Regions from separate parts of the Mus musculus genome. Here regions 1 and 3 are each reported to be linked to region 2. Evidence: microRNA targets listed by miRTarBase, many of them from high-throughput screens and not tested one by one. Region 2 holds a microRNA gene; each other region holds the end of a gene's coding sequence.
The links. Region 2 holds the annotated microRNA mmu-miR-34b-5p (AGGCAGUGUAAUUAGCUGAUUGU, at 4,929-4,951, shown strand). A microRNA usually pairs through its seed, bases 2 to 8, with sites in the 3' UTR of a target mRNA and lowers its output. Matches are read on the target gene's strand: a 7mer-m8 pairs with bases 2 to 8, a 7mer-A1 pairs with bases 2 to 7 and ends in A, and an 8mer does both.

Region 1 (7,613 bases), not on the chromosome of region 2:
AAGGCTGAGGTACGGACAGGGTTTAGCCTTGGGGGGCAGAAGGTAAATGGTGCCTCAGTGGTGATGGTACAGCCTTCCAAGTCTGCTACTGGGCCAGGCACAGCAGGTGGCTCGGTGATCTCCCGAACCCAGTCCAGTCTGGTAGAGGCCTTCAACAAGATCCTCAACAGCAAGAACCTGCTGCCTGCTTATAGACCAAACCTGAGTCCGCCAGCTGAGGCTGGTCTGGCCCTGCCTCCAACAGGCTACCGCTGCCTTGAGTGTGGAGATGCCTTCTCTCTGGAGAAGAGCCTGGCACGGCACTATGATCGAAGGAGCATGCGTATAGAGGTCACCTGTAACCACTGTGCCCGTCGCCTGGTTTTCTTCAACAAGTGTAGCCTGCTTCTGCATGCCCGTGAGCACAAGGACAAGGGGCTTGTCATGCAGTGCTCACATTTGGTCATGAGGCCTGTAGCCCTTGACCAGATGGTGGGGCAGCCAGACATCACACCCTTGCTGCCTGTGGCTGTCCCACCTGTTCCTGGACCTTTGGCCTTGCCTGTTTTGGGCAAGGGGGAGGGGGCTGTCACTTCCTCTACCATCACTACAGTTGCCACTGAAGCTCCTGTGCTGCCACTCCCAACAGAGCCCCCTGCTCCCCCTACTGCCTCTGTTTACACGTGCTTTCGCTGTCTGGAGTGCAAAGAGCAGTGCCGGGACAAGGCTGGCATGGCAGCCCATTTCCAGCAGCTGGGCCCTCCTGCACTCGGGTCTACCAGCAATGTGAGTTGTTTTTCATTTTTCTTCTCTTGGGGAAGGGACAGCCAGATTCTATGGAGGTGAAAATTCAAAGTAATAGGTACAGGGCACCCCTCATTAATTGACCTTGTTTAACCTCTTGACAGGTGTGTCCGTCCTGCCCCATGATGCTCCCCAATCGCTGCAGCTTCAGTGCCCACCAGCGCACACATAAGAATCGAGCCCCCCATGTGTGTCCCGAGTGTGGGGGTAACTTCCTACAAGCTAATTTTCAGACCCATCTTCGAGAGGCCTGTCTGCATTTCTCTCGCCGTGTAGGATACAGGTGCCTCATGCTCAACTCCTCATTAGAGCTTTAGGATCTGTTTGTTAGCAGTAATTTATTTTAAAGATTTATTTATTTATTTAATGTGAGTACACTGTAGTTGTCTTTAGACACAGCAGAAGAAGGCATCAGATCTCATTACAGATGGTTGTGAGCCGCCACGTGATTGCTGGGGACCTCCAGAAGAGCAGTCAGTGCTCTTGACCACTAAGCCATCTTTCCAACCCAGCAGTAATCTTTTTAGATGGCTTCTCAAGGAGAACCATCATTTTTCCTATTGTGTTGACACACCCTACCCCTCCTGCTATCAAGTATGCATTATGGGAACAGTGGAGAGCAGGGTCCCAGGTGGAATCCCAGCTCTGCCTTCTCAGACCTCTCTTGGGGACTGAGCCTCCTTCCTTCCTCTGTCTTGCTCATGCTCCTTTGTTGATTTCCTTTTGAAATTTTCCTTGTCTTCAAGAACAAGAGTGGTGCTTGAGATGCCCCTACCTCACTGTCGTATCTCCCACTTCCTCTCCAAGGTGCCCTAGCTGTGCAGTGGTGTTTGGGGGTGTGAACTCCATCAAGTCCCACATCCAGGCATCACACTGCGAAGTTTTCCACAAGTGCCCCATCTGCCCCATGGCCTTCAAGTCTGCACCCAGCGCCCATGCCCACCTCTACTCCCAGCATCCAAGCTTCCTCACCCAGCAAGCCAAGTGAGACCTGGGGAGGGAGCATGGTGGTGAGGTAGATTGGTGAAGAGGTGGAGGGTGGTGGACTGCTATCACCCATGTTTATACTGACCCTTCTGCCCCCACAGGCTGATCTATAAGTGTGCCATGTGTGATACGGTCTTCACTCACAAACCCCTCCTCTCCTCACACTTTGACCAGCACTTACTGCCCCAGCGTGTCAGTGTCTTTAAGTGCCCGTCTTGTCCTCTGCTTTTTGCCCAAAAAAGAACCATGCTGGAGCATCTCAAGGTACAGGAGGAACAAAGGCTAGGGAATGGCTACTGGCTAGCTGTGCTGACCTGACCTGGGGTCAGAGAACCCTCTGGCAGTGGGGAGCAGGGGTGAAGTGAGGACTTTGGCAAAGCCAGGCTCTCTTCCACCTAGCCATCTTCCTTGTCTTCTTATAGAACACTCACCAGTCTGGACGTGTGGGGGAAGAGGCAGTTGGGAAAGGGGCTGGAGGTGCCCTTTTGACCCCCAAGACTGAGCCTGAGGAGCTGGCTGTGTCTCAGGCAGAGGCAGCCCCTGCTACTGAGGAGTCTTCCTCATCTTCTGAAGAGGAGCTGCCTAGCTCCCCTGAGCCACCCCGACCAACCAAAAGAGCCCGACGAGGAGAACTGGGAAACAAAGGCATCAAAGGTGGGGGTGGGGGGCCTGGGGGCTGGACTTGTGGCCTTTGTCACTCCTGGTGTCCTGAGCGTGACGAGTATGTGACTCACATGAAGAAGGAACATGGTAAGGTGAGCTGGGTTTTACTCTGGGAAAGGTGGGACTGGAAAGTAGCCTTGGGGTTGACCTGAGTGACTGAAAGTTTCCACCCTTTGCTTTCTAGTCAGTGAAAAAGTTCCCCTGTCGCCTGTGTGAGCGCTCCTTTTGCTCTGCCCCAAGCCTGAGGCGCCATGTCAGGGTCAACCATGAGGGAATCAAGCGAGTTTACCCATGCAGGTAACCCTTACTCATTCCCTCGCAGAGTACCTGGCTACCTGTCTCTTTGAGGGATCTGAAGCTTGAGGCCACCTTCTGCTGTGGTAGCCTTCCTTCTCTCAAGAGCTATGGGTCTTGGTCTTTGCATGTGCCTCTGGTGCCATCTTGCCCACTTTACCTCTGCTAGGTATTGTACAGAGGGAAAGCGCACCTTCAGTAGTCGCCTGATCCTGGAGAAGCATGTTCAGGTCCGGCACGGCTTGCCTCTTGGGACCCAGTCTTCTGGCCGAGGAGGCTCCCTGGCTCGAGGCTCTGGTGGCAGAGCCCAGGTAAGAAAAGGCCTTCCTTATGTCATGGGATTGAGAAACTAGTGAGACCTTGGTCTCAGGAAACCAGGGTGATGGTGAGGCCCGGTGTCTTCCACTTTTCTCCAGGGGCCAGGACGGAAACGCCGCCAGTCTTCTGACTCATGCAGTGAGGAGCCTGACAGTACAACACCACCAGCCAAGTCCCTGAGGGGTGGCCCTGGGTCAGGAGGCCACGGTCCTCTGCGCTATAGAAGCAGTGGCTCAGCAGAACAGAGCCTTGTGGGGTTGAGGGTGGATGGTGGCACTCAGCAGTGCCTTGACTGTGGCTTGTGCTTTGCTTCCCCTGGTTCCCTGAGCCGCCACCGGTTCATTAGCCACAAGAAGAGACGGGCCGGGGGTAAGGCCAGTGTCCTGGGGCTGGGGGATGGGGAAGAAGCAGCTCCTCCTTTACGCTCTGACCCAGAGGGTGGAGACTCACCTTTGCCTGCTCCTGGAGACCCTCTGACTTGTAAGGTCTGTGGCAAGAGCTGTGACAGCCCTCTAAACCTCAAGACCCATTTCCGCACGCATGGCATGGCATTCATCAGGGCCCGGCAGGGAGGCAGTGGGGACAACTAGGTCCCCAGCCTCAGACTGACCAGGCCTCTTCCCTGGGACTTGGGTTTCACTGCTGCTGTCACCTCCCTGGGCTGGGAGTTTAACATTTACTTCTTTCTCTATCCCTGAGGGACAGGCTTTTGAGGATTCTAGTGACTTGCACCCCCTTCCCTCTAGGGTTTGGCCCCTAGGTTCTACTTAAGTGGGCCTTCTTTTTCCTTTCTGAATCCAACACTAATGCTCCTGCTGCAGACTCCCAGTAACTGTGGGGGGAGGGGGGAGGGGACCTTGGCAAGCCTGCTAGACAGGCATAGGGATGGACTGAAGGATGTACAGGGTCTAGCTTCTACCCCTCTACTAGAGTTCTTCAGGCACAGACCAGTATTTCTTCTTCTGGGCTGGGTTCTGTCCTAGTATCCCCTCCTCCAACACTCATTGGCACTAACACCCCCACCCCAATCCCTGCAGTGCCTTCCATTTGTCTTTTCCCCCAGAAATTTAGGGGTGGGGGGTTGGTGGGGATGAGTCCTGTCAAGTAGGTTCCAGGGAGAGGAGAGGACAGGCTCTCAGGAATCCTTTATTCTTGTAGTAGTAGTAATACTAACAGTGGGAGAAACAGGAGGGAGAAAACCAGACCATTAAAACTGCTTGTGGTTTAATCCCCATTCAGGCTTTTCTTTTTATGTGAGTTGGATAATGTGTACTCATAGGGAGGGGCGAGTCAGAACTGGGGAAGCCCTTCTCAGGGAAGAGGCAGTATTGACGAAGACAGATGGAAAAAGCAATCTTCCTTCATCTTGTGTGTTTGGTGCCTTTTGTATGCTGGACTTAACCCTTTCCAAGCACTCCTCCCCCAGAAGCAACAAGACAGATGGCTAACTAAGGATTTTATTTCAAACAAAAATTAAAAAAAAAAAAAAAAAAAAAAAAAAGCTGTTTCCCTGGATGTGAGGAAAGGATCAGGGTAAGAAATTTCCCCATGGCTAAGCCAGTACCCTCAATACATCAGAGGGTTTTGTCAGTTCTCCCTTCCTTACCCCCATGATGGGGACCTCAGCAAGTGCAGGACCCACTTGTCGGGAATGTGGGCCAGGGGTCAGCCCCCAGGAGGGGACTGAGTTAGGCAGCAGCATGGCCAAACATAGGATTAAGTCCTAAGTACCAAGAACCTACTCCTCCCAGTTTACTGGGACCCAGGGAAAATAAAAGATGGTTTGTAGAAAACCTCTGAGACCCCTGAGGGGAAGAAGACTCCAGTCCTCCTCATGTTCATCACCTCTGTTCTCTGGAGGGCAGTGAGTCCTGGGATCTGTCAGGTGGTAATACTGACACAGCAAGAGGTGGGGAAGCCCCAGCAAGTCTGGACCCCAAGGTTGGCTCTCCTACCCTCTGGCAAGCTCTCATGGTTACCACATGATCCTTTGTATTTCTTGCCTTCCATTTCCCTTGGGTAGGTGGTTAGGTAGGTGGGGTTTTGTGATTTGGGTTTTCTTAGGCAAGGGTCCTTCTAAGGAGGATGCCTTCAGTCCCACCACTTCTAGGCCTGAAAATGGTGTCACATGATGCCATTGGTGAGGTACTGGAAGCCATCGTAGAGTTTGGTGGTGATGGACCTCATGCTGCCGTCCACCATCTGCTCCACCAGCAGCTGCAGCTGCTCCTCAGTCATGCTCATGTGGAACCTCTCTTTGAGGTTGCGAATGGTGCTGGAGCCATGGAAGCAAGGAAGCTGAGAACCTGGGGGGAAGCAGTGGAAATTAAGGGTCATAGACAATTAGGAAGGCAGCCCAGTAGTTAGTGGCCACAAGGAAAAGAGCTAGAGTACCCCTTCCCTCCCCACCACTGGGATCCTTGATGGTACAGAGCAATTTTGCTTGTGCAGAGAAAAGCAATCAGGAAGCCTTGTTTTTAGTCCGTCCTCAGTCCTCATCCCATACTCCTTAGTTTCTCTGTAGGAAGAGTATGTGGGCATGATAGGAAAAGGCAAGCCAGCCCACAACTTCCCCCAGTAAGCATTGGAGAGATGTCTTTGGGCCCAGAGGGAAGGCTGGGAAGAGCCTCTGGGAATGGGCCCTGCACTTATCTGGTTGCAGGCCTCTGCCTATGCTAGATCAGACACTCACAGATGACCTGGGCCACCGTCACCACGGGGCCAGACAGAGATGCTCCCGAGCAACGACGGCAACCTGTGGGGTAGGGGCAAGGATGGGGAGGAGGAGACTGGCAGCTTAGGTAGGGTAAATATCTGGGGTGGGGGGGATAGAAGGGTCCCAGAGGAACTGGAAGAGGAGGGAGTCCTGTGCAAAAAAACTGAGGGACCAAGGAAGAGGCAAAGTGAAAGAAAAGAGAGGCAGGAAAAATGAGAGCAGCAGAGGTTAGTAGGAAGTGGTAGTGGCCGAGGTCAGGTCAGTCAGGCCAAGTGTGATGGGAGAGAAGTGAGTAGAAGTAGCAGAGAAGGAAGAAGACTGAGAAATACAATTGAATGGGAGAATGGGAAAGCCAGGAGGCTGAAAGTGGCTGTTTCCCCATGAGGATACCTAAGAGCTTTCTGCTGTTCCTTTTCTCCTGCCCCACCCCCAAAACCAGTTCTGCCAGGGTGAAGAATGTTTTAAAGGGGAAATGGAGACCCCCTGAGAAATGTTCCCCCACCTAAGTCTTGAGGTGGAGTTCAACTTCCTAAAAGTTCTAAGTGCAGGCAACCCAACCTGAGTCCCCCAGGCCAGGGCCCTCCTGAGCCACACCTTGCTGCATGATCTCCACAATCTGTACCACCTTGTCCATGTGCTTCCGAGCAGCAATCAGCCCTTGCAGCATGAGCATCTTGTAGTAGTTGAACATATCACCGTTCAGGCCACCCATTACCTGGAAGCAAGGAGAGTGTCTGTGTGCACAGAGAAATTCTGGTGGGTCCTTTCTGTAGGCCTCAGAGCTTCCTCTCTTAAGGTAATCATGGTAAATTTCCTTATCACTATCTCCACATTTTCTTTCATAAGCTCCCAGGCAATCCTGCCTCGTCTTGACTTATTGCCATTTCTGTTCTGTTCCTAATTTGGGGGAGTCCATCAGCTCCTCTCAGAGGAAGAACACAGTTACCCTTGGAAGCACCTCTCTTTTTTGACTCACATCCACAAATTCTGTGGTCAGCTTAAAGGCTGATGTCTCGAAGCCCAGGTTTCGGGGTGAGCTGGAAAGGATGAAGCCAAAGTCGATGTGGATGATGTGACCTTCTGCGTCCAGAAGGATGTTCCCGTTGTGCCTGAGGAAGAGGCAACAGTAAGTGTGGCTTAGGCTGGATCTCAAGCTACAACACTGGCCTCTTCATACCGAACAGGGGAGGCCCCAGCCATGTTTCCTGTTGCTTACAAGTCTGGGTCAATTTCCTAGGATCTAAAACTAGTAACAAAAGGAAGTTAGGAAACTATGAAGAATGACTGGGGTATGAAATTCAGTTATTACCAGCTTAATAAAAATAGTTTTAAGATTATCAAAAGGCTGAGGACGGTAGAGTGGTTGCCTATAACGCTCTTTTCTAGCTTTGTTCCCTAACACAACATAAACTGAGTGTGAATAACGTCACATGCCTATAACTCTAGCACCTGGGAAGCAGAGGCTAGAAGATCCTAAACTAAGGGTCAGTCTCAAATACAGAGGCCAGACTGACGCATGCTATTTTCTCCCGAATTGTACTTCTAGTACTCAGACTTGACTCTGACTTTAAGTAGTAAGCACACAGATAAGAAGAAAAGGTCTCTGAGGCTCCAGCAGCTAGCTGTCTGAATGAGGGAAGGCCCTCATTCAGACTCAGTTTAAGATAGATAGGGTCTCACTATGCAGCCTCAAATGGTCTGATACTCATATATAGTACCAAATTGACCTCAAACTCAGTCACCTGCCTCTACCTCCTGTGTGCTGGGATTATTTTAATTCTTAATCAGTCCATGGCAGAACCAAAGTCCCATCAGTAGAGAGCAACAAATAGTTTATGTGGGTCAACACAGG
Region 2 (7,613 bases):
GTAATAAATGTGTCTGTATGTGTGACAACATTGGATGCTGTCCTAATCAAGTAAGGAAAGTATTGGTGATTGATATGTTTATTAATGGAAGATACTAACTATAAACTGAGTATATTGAGTTCAAGAGAAAGTAGAGAAGAAGAAACAGAAAGAAGATGAGCTCTAAAGGCACCTTGGGATATTTTTCCTGGAGATAGGCCTGAGCTTTAAACACGCTGTGGATGGACCAAGAGGGGAGGAGACAACATAAGTTCAGCTAAATATAAACACAATGAAATCCTTGAGATACACGTTATGAGTTAGAGAAAATAAAGAAATGAGTTGTATAATTGTTAAACTATATGCACGCTCGATACAGGAATCAAGAAGTCTTAAGTGCTCAATGAGGACAGTAAAAACAACTGCAATGAATAACTGTGCACAAAGTGACGCCTCTGAGAAAGGCAGACACTGATTGCATGCTTGCAAATAGATTAGTTGACAGGTAGCTTCCTATTTGGGCTTCACAGACTTAAGAATACCTACTAGGACCTCTTAAGGAAAATGAACTCTTCAGCAACACACTCAGACAACCAGCTAGCTACTCTGAAACCCCAAAATTACTTTTACAAACCAGGAAATCTACTTGAGATCTGCTTAAAGTGGCAGGAGCCAGTCTACAGTCAGGGAAGTTCATCTGTCTACGTGCACCTTGGAGAAAACCATCTACTTAACATGTATCTGGGTTCCATTCCAGGATTAAAAAGGAGAGGAGGGCATTCCACTGTTGGTCACTTACTTCCTCCTTCCTGAAAGAACTATAACAAGCAAGAATAAGCTACCACACCCTTCATGGACTTTGTTCAACTCTTTGATTTAATTTTCACAGTTTCAGAAAACTGCTAATCCCTCTTCTTAATTCTGACTTCTTTCCAGAATTCCAGTTTAAATACTTACCTTCATTATGATGTTCATCCATAGCCCAAACCCAGCCTTGCTTAGACCCAAACTCAACTCGTTATAAACATCCTCTGATTCTGTTTCCCTCAGCTCCTCAAATTTGTCCCTGGAGTTAGCAGCTGATCTTGTTAAATGGTTAATCAGACATCAAGTCCTAAACATTTTCTTTCACAAAATCCCTTATTCTGTATTTCCTCTATCATTCCATATGTGCATCTGTTAAAAATCATCTCCTACATTGAAGCTCAGCCCCCTCTGTAATCCATGATACTTTAATCCCCATAAAACAACATACACTTTGTAGGCATCAGGGGCTCTCCGAGAGCCAGAATGATATTCAAACTCCCTACGCTAACGTTTCTAGTCTCTCATGCCTACCTCCTACTATAATTCAGTCAATGCTGGTTTTTTTTTCTATATAGCCCTATTTTTGTCCCATATTTTGGTGCTTTTTAATTATGTTTTCCCCAAATGTTAACAATAACAGCACTCGAATTCAAGATTTCTTAAGCACTTAGTAATCTAAGTACTTAGACATTCAATATATTTTATGTGATATAAATATATTATCTAAACATTTTATGCATTAATATAATAATTTATATATTAATATTATGATGCATTAATATGATTAACATAATTTAACTATATTAATTATCTATACAAACAAACTGTCTATCCCTCCAATTAAACCACATCTCTGGAGACTGTTGTTCCCTAGAGATGAGAAATAGACAAGAATTGTTTCTGGAGTAAGAGCTCCATCAACCTTAACTAGGAAGCTATTTTTGTTAGATTGTTCCTAAAAAAGTAAATTAACATTTGATACTGAAAGCAAAACTATTGGTTAATTGAGAAATGGAAACAAGAAGCTAATTGAGAACTTTTCCTAATGAGAGTTCATTGAGTTGAAACCAGAGGTATAGAGCTGCTGGCAGTTCATTCTAGCTCAGATGACAACCCACTATGATTAAACAGATTCATTGATTTGTAATTATTCAAGGGCTAAATTGACTTCAACTCAGCCTTGCTTCAACTTATAAACTAGTTCCTAAGCATACTATCGTGAATATTAATATGGTCATCTGACATTTGATAGTCTGCATAAAAAAATGCATGGTTTTATTTCCTAGGAAAGTATGCATTTTTGAAATGTTTTAAAAGAAGTGGCTAAAGATCATTGCTTTCTAATTAGTGTCCTTCATTCTTTCCTCCCTAACAAGAACCTTCAAATGCTGCAGAAATAGCCTGCAACTGGGAGGTTGTATCAAGAAGAACAAGAGCTCAAGGCCAGCCTGAGCTAATTGAGTCCCTATCTAAAAACAAAGAGGACGTGTACAGACGATGTGCTGTGTGTACTGACAGGAGGAAGTCATCTCTCGATGGCCCTTTTACAGGAGTCATAAATTAAGTCAAGATAAATTTGTCAGATTCACGCAGGAAGTTCTTGTTTTTGATACTTTTCATGGTTTCCTTCCGGTCAATACTATCAACCCATCTCCTCAAAGGTCCTACCCCATCTCCCAGATCAACAAAAACCCAGAAATTAAAGCAGTAAACAGCTCCTCCTCAAGGTGCCTTCCTGGATCTATCTAACCAAATGTAATGGTCTGCTTGGGCATTTTAACCACACCACAGGCATTCTTACTTAGATTAAAACATGAGTCTCCCTGGTCTCTAGACATGCCTAGGCATGACCAGCAGATGCAATAAGATCCTTGGAGTTTCTCTAGTAACTGTGGGCAGGATCAACAGCAACCCTAAGAACAGACATTCTTTTCTATTGTTGCTTTCTAACAGAACTAGGGCACACGCATTTTTTTTTCATCATTTTACTTTTTATCATTGAAGAAAAAAATTTAGTCTAAATTTCAAGACAGTTTATGCAATGATAGCTTTGGATGGAAGCAATAAAACTCAGGTAAGATATTTAAGATGCTACTAATAGAGAAAATCCCTAAGCTGGGTGGAAGCATGACACATGGAGTGAAATTGAGCAAAATGCAAAATAAATGATTTTTTAATGATGTCCTCCTAAAACTTGTAACTCTTCATAGTGTTTATGGGATGGAGGCTATTTCTACTACTTTTATTTATATTTGAACGTTTAAATGACCTTTTGTAGGATACATTATACTTTTCTCAAATACAAGAAGACTGAATACAAGATAGTTATTTACAAATGTCTTTCATAAGTTAATTTTATAATAATCTGGCATTTTCTACTTCATTTTCCTTTCACTTAAGCCTTCATAAAACAATGACTCTGAAGGAAAAAAACATTGTCTTTTACTTTCAAAGATAATGTTAAAATATACACAAGTTTATTCTTGGGAAGTTCTTGGGTTTTAATGGTTTCCACTTGGAATTTGTGTTGAATGTTCCTGATGATTGGCATATATTCATGTAATTAGTGGCATCTACAAGACCATTTGCTGGGCTTACAGGTATCAGTGTATAGCTAAGAAATGTCCCTTTGTAGACTGCAAGACTGTTGGATCAATACAAATGGGTGTCATACAGCATACAGGAAGACCACAGTCTGGGACGGCTACTTCCTACTGAATTCCACAAAGTTTGCAATCAGAGAATACTGTATATCCTCTCTGGGCTCAATTAATTAAAGGAAAGGAGAGGAAAGACTAAAGGAAAGAAATATTAGTGAAGATGGCGCAGAAATGCTGTCCCCTCAGCGCCTCCTATTCCCAATATACACAAACACGCACCCCGTTATCAGATATAAAATAGCAAAAACAAGGGGAATGTAACTGACAGAAGATATGGCTTCTCGGGCTTCTACAGACCTCATCCTTAATGTCCAAATCTACCCTTGCTTCAAGGATCTACCTGAACTCTCACCTCCTCCATGATGGTGTCTGTCAGCTCTTGTTGGCACACCTCCCACCCCCACCCATACCTGTTTTTTTCTATTAGGAAAATCTATCAGTTTAGCAACTTTATACTGTCTGGAGTAATAAATAATGTGTTCACATTTTGTTACCACCTAGACTGTCTGATGGGTAGTAAGACAAACGCCTGTTAGGTGCTGGATTTGTAACATTTAAATAAAACAGGAGCCCAAAGTGAGACTAGATATCCTCAAGGCTCACGGGGAGATCATCAAAACTGTGTCTTTGATCTTATAAGGGCCACAACTTTGACCTACCAACAAGGGTGTTGGTTCAATGTTTGACCAGAAGAGTGGCCCACACTTCACTGTATGGCCCTGTAAGAGGTAGTCCTAAGAAAGAACTTGGGTACAGGCAAGGGCAATCCTGCAGGTATGAGTGCCCAGGCCTGCTCAGGCAGGAAGGCTCCAGATGAGACGCCTGGGAAGCGGTTTCTGAGAATGGGCATATGAACAGTGAGGAGGCCTGGGGCTTCTTGGGCAATATATTGGGAAGGAGAGATGGATGTAGGTCTCTGCGCTTCTTTCTTCGATGTAGCAGTAACTACACTGTGAAGATAAACTTCTCAAGAATCTGTCTCTCCATCTCCCCGGCCCCTTCCCAGGAGGCTCTGCAGGAGCCCTCCCATTGCCCCTTCTGGTAGCTTCTGCCACCCCTCCCCCACTCGCCCCGCCCCCTCGGCCTCGGGGTTCCAAGGGCGGTTGGTCGCTGAGCCACGGTCACTCGGCCAGTAGGAGCTGCGGGGCGCGCGGGCTGGACAGAACCGGCTCTAGACTTGGGTCTGGAAGCCGTGAAGAAGTTGTTGGAGGCGGGTCAGACCCGGCTTGCGGGAAGAAGGACTCGGGCCGGATGCCCTGGGGTCCGGGCTGAGTCGGGGGTCTCGGGGGGGACGGCGGGGACAGGGGGCCTCAGCGCCTGGGGGTTCACCTGGGGTCGCGCGCGGCCCTGCTGGGTGTGGAGGGGCCTCGGGAGCCTGAGGCACCTCTCGCTCCGCCGCCCTCGCCTGTCGACCGTGGCGAAAGGGGGCGAGGGGCCCGACCCTCGGGAGCTGCAGTGGCGGGCGCCCGGTGCTCGGTTTGTAGGCAGTGTAATTAGCTGATTGTAGTGCGGTGCTGACAATCACTAACTCCACTGCCATCAAAACAAGGCACAGCATCACCCGCCGCCCGCGGGAGGAGAAGCCAGCGCTGCAGCCCCACTGACTCCGCAGAAAGCCGAGGCCGGAGCCAGGATGCGTCAGCAAAGGGCCGGGAGCACGAGGTCTAAGTGCAAGTAACCCTCGGAGACCGGCGGCCTCCTTTAGGGACCGTTCGGCTACCTGTGTGTAAGAGCCAGAGCAAAAACGGTTCAGTGATGTGTAAAGAGAATCGGTATACACCGGCCTTAACATAAAAAAAAAAAAAAAAAAAAAGGCCAGGAAGAGCCCCCCCCCCCCCCCCCCCAGAACAGTTCCTGCTGCTGCTGTGATTCACTGCCTGATTTCCACTTCTGAGAAAGCTATCACCAAGGCAGCGACTAGAGTCAACCACAGCTTGGCTGACGATTTGCTCTGGTCACACCAAAGTCTGAGAGCACCAGCTAAAGACTGCATGCTTTTTTCTGAGTCTAGTTACTAGGCAGTGTAGTTAGCTGATTGCTAATAGTACCAATCACTAACCACACAGCCAGGTAAAAAGACTGAAATTCCTCCGACTGAGCCTCCTGTGAATCGTCATTTTGGTGAGGACAGAGCCATAGGGAAATATTCTTACCATACTATTAGTGGTTTGGGGGGGGGGGGGGAACCGCTAGCCCTTAGCTGCTAAGTATACAATGTATCAATTTGTGTGGGGTACATTTTTTGTGATTTTTAGATATATTGGAAAAATAGAAATTATCCCTTAGCTGATTTGGTCATTATATTGACTTGTGATTATAAATCTTTGGACTTTGCCTGACATATTAATAACACTCTAAAAAATAAAGCGCCACGAAAATCTCAGCAATCGTGTTCATTTCCTTTCCAAAAACTGGCTTTAGGATCTCCATTTCAGCTCCTGTCAACCCCGTAAAGTCATTAAATGGTTAGTTGCTATACAGACAAAATCTCCAGGGAAACGTCTCACACATGATTGTGACCTGGAAGGGAACGTTAAATGTTTTCATAATTTTCCATGGGGCAAGGGAACTCAGCCCACTTAACCAGGTATATTTTTTAAGGTATTAACAGTTGCGTTCTAGGCAACTTTTCGTGGGAATAATTAGTGAACACGATTTAAAACCAGCTGGTTTCCTAATATCTGTAATAAAAGATTTGAGAGGTTTTAAATCACACAAGCTGTATCCACCGGTACTTCTCGGCCCAGTTCTAGATTAGCGCTTTATGCAGATGTATCAATGCAAACCTGAGAATTTCCCCAGAGGTAAGAGTGCGAAGCCTTGGCAATCTTGTCCAAAAGAGGAAGGCGCTCTTTAAAGCTCACATTATTGGGCTATCTGGGGGAGGAGGAGACGCTGGCTGAGGATCTAAGAGACAGTCCAGGACTGTACACATCACAAAGTTGAGGCTTTTACTCTTAAGGCTTGACTGGCCCCGAAAATTGTGACCTCGACAGAAGCCAGCTGCTGATGGGCCACAAGCCCTCGAGGAACCCCAGATCTACGGAAGAAGAAACACAGGCATTCCGGTGGTGGCAGTTACCAACAGGACGGTTCTCCGGTAGGGGCGGGACGCCAGAGCTAAGGAAAGCGTCCTGAGTCACCATGGAAACGGGGCCCAGAGGCTGTCCTAGCGGCAGGAAGGAATCCCAGGAAATCTGCTCCCCTGGATTACTGGTGTTCACCGGCTGCTCTGAGCAGGATGCCAATTTGGCTAAGCAGTTTTGGCTCGGGGCGTCCATGTACCCCACTACCGAATCTCAGCTCGTGCTGACCCGAGGCAGCAGTCAGAGGCTACCGGTGGCGCGGAACTCTAAAGTCGTTCTGAGAGGTGAGTAGCAAGGCTACCTCCTGGAAGGGGAAACTGCCTGGTCTAATTGTCAGTCAATTGAGAAGTACAAACAAGCAGAAACAGGCAGTAATAGGTATATGCAAATACACAAACAATTCTAAAACTGCTGCAATTCTCCACTGTAAAGGATCTCATTGTTACATATAAATTCATTCTAGAGCTGGAGAAATGGCTCAGCAGTTAAGAGCACTGACTGCTTTCCAGAGGTCCTGAGTTCAATTCCCAGCAACCACATGGTGGCTCACAACCGTCTGTAATGGGACCTGATGCCCTCTTCTGGTGTGTCTGAAGACAGCTACAGTGTACTCACATAAATAAAATGAAAATCTTAAAAAAAAAAAAAAATTCTAAGAGTCCCTTAAATGATGGCTTTTATTTGGCAAAGAGGATGGGTTAATCTAAGGAAATGGTGCTTAGATTAGGAAAGCATTTACATAAAATTGAATTCAAATTTAAAAGCCCAAGAAAAAGTTGTTGGCAGAGTCTAATTTAGGAACCCTGTTTCCTGACTGACAAGCCTTCGGGCCAAGGATGTATAAAGTGTTCTTATTCAATATTAATAGGTATATGAAATTAAAATACTGTTCATGTCAGCTTTTCCAATAACTTTCTCTTCATTTGTATTTCTTAGAGAAAAGTTCTGTCCAGCCCTTTCCCTTTGATCAGGACAGTAAGTATCAAGTTTTAATGCCTTTTTATATGTAGACTCCCCAGATTATCTTAGAATTCCTAGAAGTATACATTTACACTGTGATATAACTAAGCTGCATATCCCA
Region 3 (7,613 bases), not on the chromosome of region 2:
CCATGGTGTTTCACATGCTTTTAATTCTAGCATGTGGATAAATGGGCAAGGCGTGAGTATCACAGATTTGAGGCCAACCTGCACTATCTAGTGCAAAAAAAGGATCAATTTTTAAGGTTTAAGTAGGTATGTAGCACATGACTATAATCTCTGGAAGCTATGAGTTTGAGGCCAGTCTGGACTGCATTACATAGCAAGCACCATGACAGCCAGGACCACATAGTGATACTGTTGTTTGTTTGTTTGTTTGTTTGTTTGTTTGTTTGTTTGTTTTTAGAAACCCTACCTCTAAACAAACCTTTAAGACAATATGAGAAATTATTCTTAATTTTTCTGGAAGTTTATACCAACTTGTTTTCTTTTGTGGGAAGTTCAACCACATAGATGCAAATCTCAAGTCTTTCTGTTTAAGGAAGGATGTATTTCCAGGGACCGTATTTTTTATGAAACACCGCGAGACTACATAGTAAGCTTCCATTCTGTCGCCCCTCTCATTGTTCATGTTTTTTTCCTCTCCAGGTTCATGGACAGAAAGCTGCTTGGGAAGACCCGGTGGAATGGGTCCGAGACACTCTTCCCTGGCCGTCGGCCCAACAAGACCAATCAAAGCTCTACCACCTGCCCCCGCCTTCTGTGGGCCCCCACAGCACTGCCTCACCCCCGGAGGACAGGACAGTCAAAGACAGCACTCCAAACTCCCTCGACTCAGATCCCCTGGTGAGTCCTCTAAAAAAGAGTCACAGAGGATTACAGAACTGAGGTCATCCACTCTTCGTATGTGCTGATGGGGCTCAGGCATTGAAGGGTTTCAGCAAAGCCAGGACCAGAGTGAGGCCAGCGAGGAACTCTGAGTATCAGGATTCTTGGGTTGACCTCATGCCTGCATCCTAGCTGAAGCCAAACAACACATTTGGGAAAATATATTCTAGCCAAGACCCAAGTTTCAGGCAGTCTGTGTAAGAAAATAGACCAAAGAAAGGCTAGAGAGGTGGCTCGGCTCTTACAAGCAAGCATTTGCTGCTCTTGCAGAGAACACAGATTCAGTCTTCATTACACATCTAAGCTTAGGACTCCAGCTCTGCGGGGATCTGACACAGCTGACCTGTGTGGGCACTGTGTTCACATGGACATACCTACATGCAGACACACACAATTAAAAATAATAAAAATTAAAAATGTAGACACTCTGATCAACCAAGGAAATAGCACTGTAAGGGCTGTAGCCCTTTCCCTTCTGCCTCCCCTGATATTCAGCTGAGATTTCATCAGCTGCATAGAGTCTGTTAAATGTAAGCTAGGGGGAGATACTTCAATGGATCTAGCCAAAACAGTTAGCATCTTCAATATGTAAAGTAAAAAGATGCTCTCAGGGCTAGCAAAATGGCTCAACAGGTAAAAGAATTTGTCACACAAAGCTGACATCCAGTTTCAGGAGAGAAATGACTCCCAAAAGTTGTCCATTGACCTCCACTTGTATGACATGGCTCGTGCACAGCCACATTCACCTGCGTCTCTCTCTCTCTCACACACACACACACACACACACACACACACACACACACACACAAAATAAAAAAATAAATGTAAATTACATGAAGAAAAAAACAGCTTATAAACCAAAGACCGAGTGAGAGCTACAAGAGACATTTGTTTAGAGGAAATACAGGTGACATAAGGACATAAGATCTCCAACCTGTCTAACAATGAGGAAATGCAAATTAAGTCAAGGAACTGCCCCTTTACATTGGTAATAGACAGAGTGTCTGAAGCGCAGACTTTCCTACTCCACTGTGGGGATGTCCATTACTAAAACCATGTTAAAGGGTAAGTTAGCAGAATGCAATGAAACTTAACACACACAAATCAGTTGATCTTGTCATTGCACCTTTCCGGTAGGGAATAATTCCAATGGAGTCATAATATAGTTTTACTTAAATGTTGACTTCCTTGAAAACAGCTGTCCTCTATGTCAGGACACTTTTTGGTTGGAAGACTGATGAATAACATAGACAGAAGAGCCCGCCAGTTGTGTGAGTAGCACCAACCAGGCTCACTTAGCTGAAGCTTGAACTATAAAAGGGAGGGGCAGAGGAGTACCCTGAGGTGGTGGTAGACTTGACACAGTGTCTGGGGATAGCACAGAGCCTAGCTGTTGGGGTATAATCTACTGCAAGGGAATTCCAAGAGTCCAGGGCCAATTACAGCGCTTCTCTCAGTACTCCCGGTATAAGCTGGTAGGTATGGACCAGCATTCCCTGGACTGCATCTTGAAACTTGGGAAGTATTGTTCTTTGGTATCCTCTGCACCCATGACAGCTCTTATAACAAAGGTATCCCAGGGGATGGTTCGTGTGCATGGGTTACAATCAGGATTGAAGCAGTTGTCACTTCTTTATGAACCATCTCTAAACTCCATGTTCTTAGACACACCAAGGATCAGACCCATGATGATACAGGATTATAGGGTTTGGTTGGTTGGGTTGGGTTGGGTTGGGTTGGGTTGGGTTGGGTTTCCCTGTAGGCAGGACCTAGCACCCCCCTCTGCATTCACCCATGTCTGCCTCTTTTTAGATGGCCATGCTACTGAAACTCCAAGAAGCTGCCAACTACATTGAGTCACCAGATCGAGAGACTATCCTGGACCCCAACCTCCAGGCGACACTCTGAGGGCCCGGCAGTCACTGTCACCCTGGAGGGCAGAAGGCTGGCTTCAGCATCATTAGCTCTCCTCTGCCCTCTTCCTTCATAGCTCTGGCTCACCAGCCTCGCCAAGAGAACAGGAGGGAAGAAGAGGGCAGGAGGAGGGATGGGTTCTCGGTGCTGAACCTTTGAGAACTTCCTACTAGGAATTGGAGGGGGTGGAGTTTGAGAACTCCGTGCCCCTTAACTACATTTGCTGGCCTCCTCTTACGACTTAGGAGAAAAGATGATTCTGGTCTTTTCTTCAAGTTTTGTTTCACCTACAAACTCTTGGGCTTTCTGGGGAGGGATTCGGAAGATATAAACAGACAAACAAAAACAAACAAACCAACTACAGCAGTTCCAAGCTCGTTCTCACAAACACCTCTGAGACAGTCACATGTGGGCAAATCTAAGGGAGGCAGGAAGCTCTACAGACTTTCTTGCAAACCCTTCCCAGTTCTGTCGACACTGCCAACAACCTCCCCGCCAGAGACCTGGCCAGAGCCAAGAAAAGAGAAGCATGTGGTTTAACAGAAAAACAAAACAAAACAAAACAAAAAATATATGTGTAAATCAACCTGTAGAAGGTAAAAACGGCAATGGAAAAGATGAAGCTGGAAGGAGGGGCCCAGTTGCCAAGATGGAACGAGAGCTGCCAGATCTTGCCTTCTGGATGACAAGAGGGGACATTGCAAGATGGCTGCCAGTCTAAAACGTCACCAGACCACAAGAGTAACATCACAGCCTTCGAAGAAAGGCCACAAGCTGTCTTTCTGCCCTCTAACTGAACATGCATGAAAAGTCAATAAACCCTACTTTTTAATTTTTAAATTTTTATTTCTATTTTTTCCTTCCATTTGCCTATTTATTTGTCCCTCACCTCCAGTTTCCTCACATCAATAAGATACTTGGGTTTCCTTCCAGGGGATAGTTTTGCTTTCCAAGTGGGTTTTCTTTGGAGAATTTAATTCTATAATATTGGTACAAGTTAGACACCTCCCATGCCACTGTCCCTGGCATCCTTGGGGCTTACATGGGACAAGAAACATTGGCTCATAATAGTAAGAGAAGAAGAACTCAGTCTCTTTGGTTCCTTTTGAGAAAGCACATGTTCTACCTGGAAGCTCAACTGCCGTCCTCCAGCATGGTAGATCTACCCCGAGCTTCATCTCGGACTGGGAGGAAAACCAAAATACTGGAAACACCTGCCTGTCTTATGGCCTGTTAGGGCCCTCACTGCACTATTTGGATGGTAGCCACTTTGCCTGACTGAATCAAGATTCCCTAGCTAGCCCTTATTATTTGTTTTTGACAGATGAATAGTCACTTATAGGAGATGGAGCAACCGTGTGACCTGCTTCAGATCAGAATAAAAGGCTCAAAGAGTTTGACTTGGTGGCCAATATCTGCCTTCCAAAGAGATCTACGTCTTGCAGAAGTTGCCCTCTTCCTAACCCACACTCCTTCATTTGACAAGTACTTACTGAGTATTTAACCGAGTACCAGTCACTACGTTTTTAAAAAAGACAAGACTTGGTCCTTAAGTTCAAGGTCTAGGAGGCAATGTTAATCTCCTTTAAGTAACCATCCCTTTATTATCTGGACCTTGAAAATCATCTGAGAGATGCAGGTGAAGGCCAAGGAGTCAATTAAAAGAAGCCTTTGGTTAGATCTCCAATATGTTGTAGGCAGAAGGTTGGGGATCAGTTTAAATGAAGCCTGAAGAACTGTGGAATCTTGCTTGTCTTGAGTGGGAAAATCTACTTCTGTCATTTCTGGAAACCAGTGGAACCAAATTCCAGGTTGAGCTGCCTCATGGGCTAATGTGTTAGCGCTCTGCAGTGCAGGGATATATACTATACGTCTGGACCTGAGAATACGCTCTTCAGGTTCCTTAGTAGCACACGACGTACCAGAATCTATACCAAGATTCTTTAGGCAAACTAACCTGGGCCATTGTTCCACCCAACCAAGGAATTACGTGCCCCTGACTCTTAATAGTCTATTTTCATTTAGATCCTCAAGAAGGTCTAGCTTGTCCCTTTTGTACCCATCCACCCCCGGCAAAAGCTTCTATATTCACCTGGTAGCCCCAGGGATGACAGGGTCCTCTATTCTGGAGACTGTTATTGCTACTGCTGCTAATTCCACGAGCTGTGAAGATCCCCAACTCAGCTGCAAAATATGCAATTCTGTGGTGGGAAGAGGCTGACTGTCCGAGGATGGTGCTGAAATCACTGCCTTAAGGTCTTTGCTGTGCAGAATGAGAAGGCCCCCCCAGAGCTGGGTGTTCCAACTTAGAAGGAAGGGAAGACTGGATAGGCCTACTTTGGACATAGGTCTCTTCTGAACCCTATCCAAAGCTCCAGTACATGGCAAGGCTCAGACTTTTGCTAACATCCTAACGCTTGAGCCTTTCACCCTCTTTTTCTGGTGCTGCCCAGCCAGTGCCTTCTGACACGGATGTTACTGGCTACTTAAGAAGAAGGAAAGTAGGAAATGCCTTCTTCCATTCCAACTGCCTCAGACTACAGAGAGAGTGTCTCTGTGGTAACTATGGATACCATCGAGAATTTTATTTGGGTCTGCAGCAAGTTGATTCTGGAGGCCTCGCATACTTTGACTTCATTTCTATTCCTGGGATCCACCACCCTCTTCTCTCAGTTGACTGCTGCATTTAGTTCAGGCCTCAAATAGCTGTCCTCCAGGAAGTGCGTTCCCATCTAGTGAAGTGCTCTCGAAGCCTACACTTTCCTTCTGGAGCCTGGGACCCTGTTTACAGTTGCACATCTGGGCCCCTCACAGTAGGATCAACCATCTCAAAAAAAAAAGAAAAAAAAAAGGGATCATGGTTCGGTGGCAATTTCGGAAGGTTGAGCCTCCTCATGGTGCTATAACCCCTCGGGATGCTCATCCAGACTTCTAAGAAGCAAAAAGCCTGAGCTCCTCCTCACTGCCTAAGAATCCATGGCAAAGAGCAAAGCCGCAGCAGTCCTCCCAACCTACACACTTCTTGGTTGAGACTCCTAGGACTCCTCAGAAAGGAAAAACTGGGTCCCACAATCTCCAGGCACCTTCAGAAGAATGCAATCTATCTTAATTCTGCAACTTTTGCTATTCCCTTTCCTTCCAACTCCTGATTCCATCCCTCACCAAAGTTGGCTGGTGAAGAACAACAACCTTTGGAGGGCCTCAGCTCCAGGAGAGGCTCGCCAGAGTCCCTTGCACTTGGGGATGAAGACCAATAAGTTGTGTTCAATGTGTTTGTTTCTCAGTCCCTGCCTAAGCACTAAAATAAAATACTCTAGGTATTGGAGGCTGCTAAGGGACCTGATGTCTGTGCATTTTTCTGTCTCTGTCCTTCTCTCTTACACACGAGCAGTTTGTTGTTATCTTCTGGGGCTCTGTGGAACATTATTTTTGATACCTGCTTTCTGGTAACTCGTTGGTGCTTGTTTCTGTCTCTGTAAATCCTTATTCCAGTGTCTTTCATGTAGTCTAATCATTTGGAAGGTAGAGGCTGGCAAGGAAGGAGAAGGGGGTAAAAGATCATGGAGAGAGCCCACAAGAAAACTTTCTTGGTTGGTAAACATTTGGGTCTTGAGTTACCAACCTTCTAATCTGTCTATTCTGATGGACATAAGACAAAATAATGATTTTTTTCCTCCCCTTTTCATTTTGTGCCGTGTGGTTTTTCTAGTTTACAAGAGTCGATGTGGACTTCATGTACCCATCTCCTTCCTGATGGCTCTCAAAGATGAGTCATGCTATTCACAGGAGTGCCACCCCCTTCCAGGACTCTGAGGATGAACTCTTGTTTCCTGTCCTATTCCAGAAAAGTAGTTAGGCTCTCACACCACCTTCCATCACCCCAGATGGAACCCATTCCCAGCAGCCAGCCTGGGCACAGAGGACACATGCCTGATGAGGTGATCCAAATGACATTAATGATCTTTTTTATGGCATAGGGGTTTGGGAGAGGAAGTTGTGCTGATCACAAATCTAATCCAGGGTTCCAGAGTTAAAGTGACTCAGATGGTTAATCAAAGACCCTTCTCATTCTGTAGCCTTCCTTCCCATAGTCCTGTGCACTAGCTAAATCGAAGCTGGTAAACTGGCTCCGTGAGCCAACAGCCCCCGTGGTAAGAACTGAAATGGCTGTAACAACAGGTTGGCTAATAGAGATGGATAGGATGGATGCACCAACAGCTGTTGGTACCTTGTTTTTCCTTCAACTGTTGGGTATTGACTCTAGGGTTTCTCATAACACTCAGCAAGTACCCACCACTGAGCTTTCTCTCTAGCCTTTATACTAAGTTGTCCATAATGGCTCTGAATTCAGTAAATATTCCAAGCAAGCTTTGAATTTGATGATCACACACACACACACCTCTCAAGTAATTGGCATTTCAGCCTGCATCACTGGGCTCAGCTATAATACACTCTGTAGTAAGAACTATACATGACAGTTCCCAACAAGGAGGCCCAAAAATGTGTTACAAATGGCCAAAGCCTGAAGACGTTGTTCTTCATCACTGAATCAGCCTTATCAATCTTCAACCTGCTCAGGGATAACTGGGCCACCAGCTTGGCTCTCCCCACTGCCCAGGATACACTGGTATACACTCTAGCCCTGGAAGCACGTGCTGTTCTAGGGAAGATAGACTAAACTGGAAAGCAGCAGAGTTCAGAAGGAAAAGGAGCAGTTGAACTTTGGAAACCGCAGGGAGAAAACGACATTTAAAAGGTTTACCTACAGCCTGGCATGGTGGTACATGCCTTTAATCTCAGCACTTGGGAGGCAGAGGCAGGTGGATTTCTGAGTTTGAGACCACCCTGGTCTACAGAGTGAGTTCCAGGACAGCCAGAGCTATACAGAGAAACCCTGTCTCGAAAAACAAAAACAAAACAAACCAAAAACCAAAAAAAAA

Region 1: miRTarBase lists Pi4kb as a target of mmu-miR-34b-5p. Seed matches in the 3' UTR shown: 7mer-m8 at 4,906-4,912.
Region 3: miRTarBase lists Nav1 as a target of mmu-miR-34b-5p. Seed matches in the 3' UTR shown: 8mer at 3,149-3,156, 7mer-m8 at 4,918-4,924, 7mer-m8 at 5,634-5,640 and 7mer-m8 at 7,282-7,288.

The regions. Positions count from the first base shown.
Region 1 is chr3:95,003,497-95,011,109 of GRCm38, reverse strand. It overlaps Pi4kb (phosphatidylinositol 4-kinase beta), which reads right to left. Exons shown (of 11, transcript NM_175356.3): 9 at 6,738-6,870; 10 at 6,356-6,476; 11 at 4,173-5,351. The coding sequence ends at 5,170. It overlaps Zfp687 (zinc finger protein 687), which reads left to right. Exons shown (of 9, transcript NM_001357863.1): 2 at 1-765; 3 at 888-1,066; 4 at 1,591-1,767; 5 at 1,872-2,034; 6 at 2,193-2,525; 7 at 2,618-2,730; 8 at 2,897-3,038; 9 at 3,144-4,520. The coding sequence ends at 3,635. It overlaps Mir7013 (microRNA 7013), which reads right to left and starts at 6,942; the gene lies at 6,871-6,942.
Region 2 is chr9:51,100,948-51,108,560 of GRCm38, reverse strand. It overlaps Mir34b (microRNA 34b), which reads left to right and starts at 4,916; the gene lies at 4,916-4,999. Mir34c (microRNA 34c) reads left to right here and starts at 5,451; the gene lies at 5,451-5,527. It overlaps Hoatz (HOATZ cilia and flagella associated protein), which reads left to right and starts at 6,483. Exons shown (of 6, transcript NM_177702.4): 1 at 6,483-6,816; 2 at 7,469-7,507. The coding sequence starts at 6,591. It also overlaps a transcript of Btg4 not described here.
Region 3 is chr1:135,436,738-135,444,350 of GRCm38, reverse strand. It overlaps Nav1 (neuron navigator 1), which reads left to right. Exons shown (of 30, transcript NM_173437.2): 29 at 520-717; 30 at 2,572-7,613. The coding sequence ends at 2,667. Among named protein-coding and RNA genes, the nearest start is that of Ipo9, 10 kb to the right of the region's middle.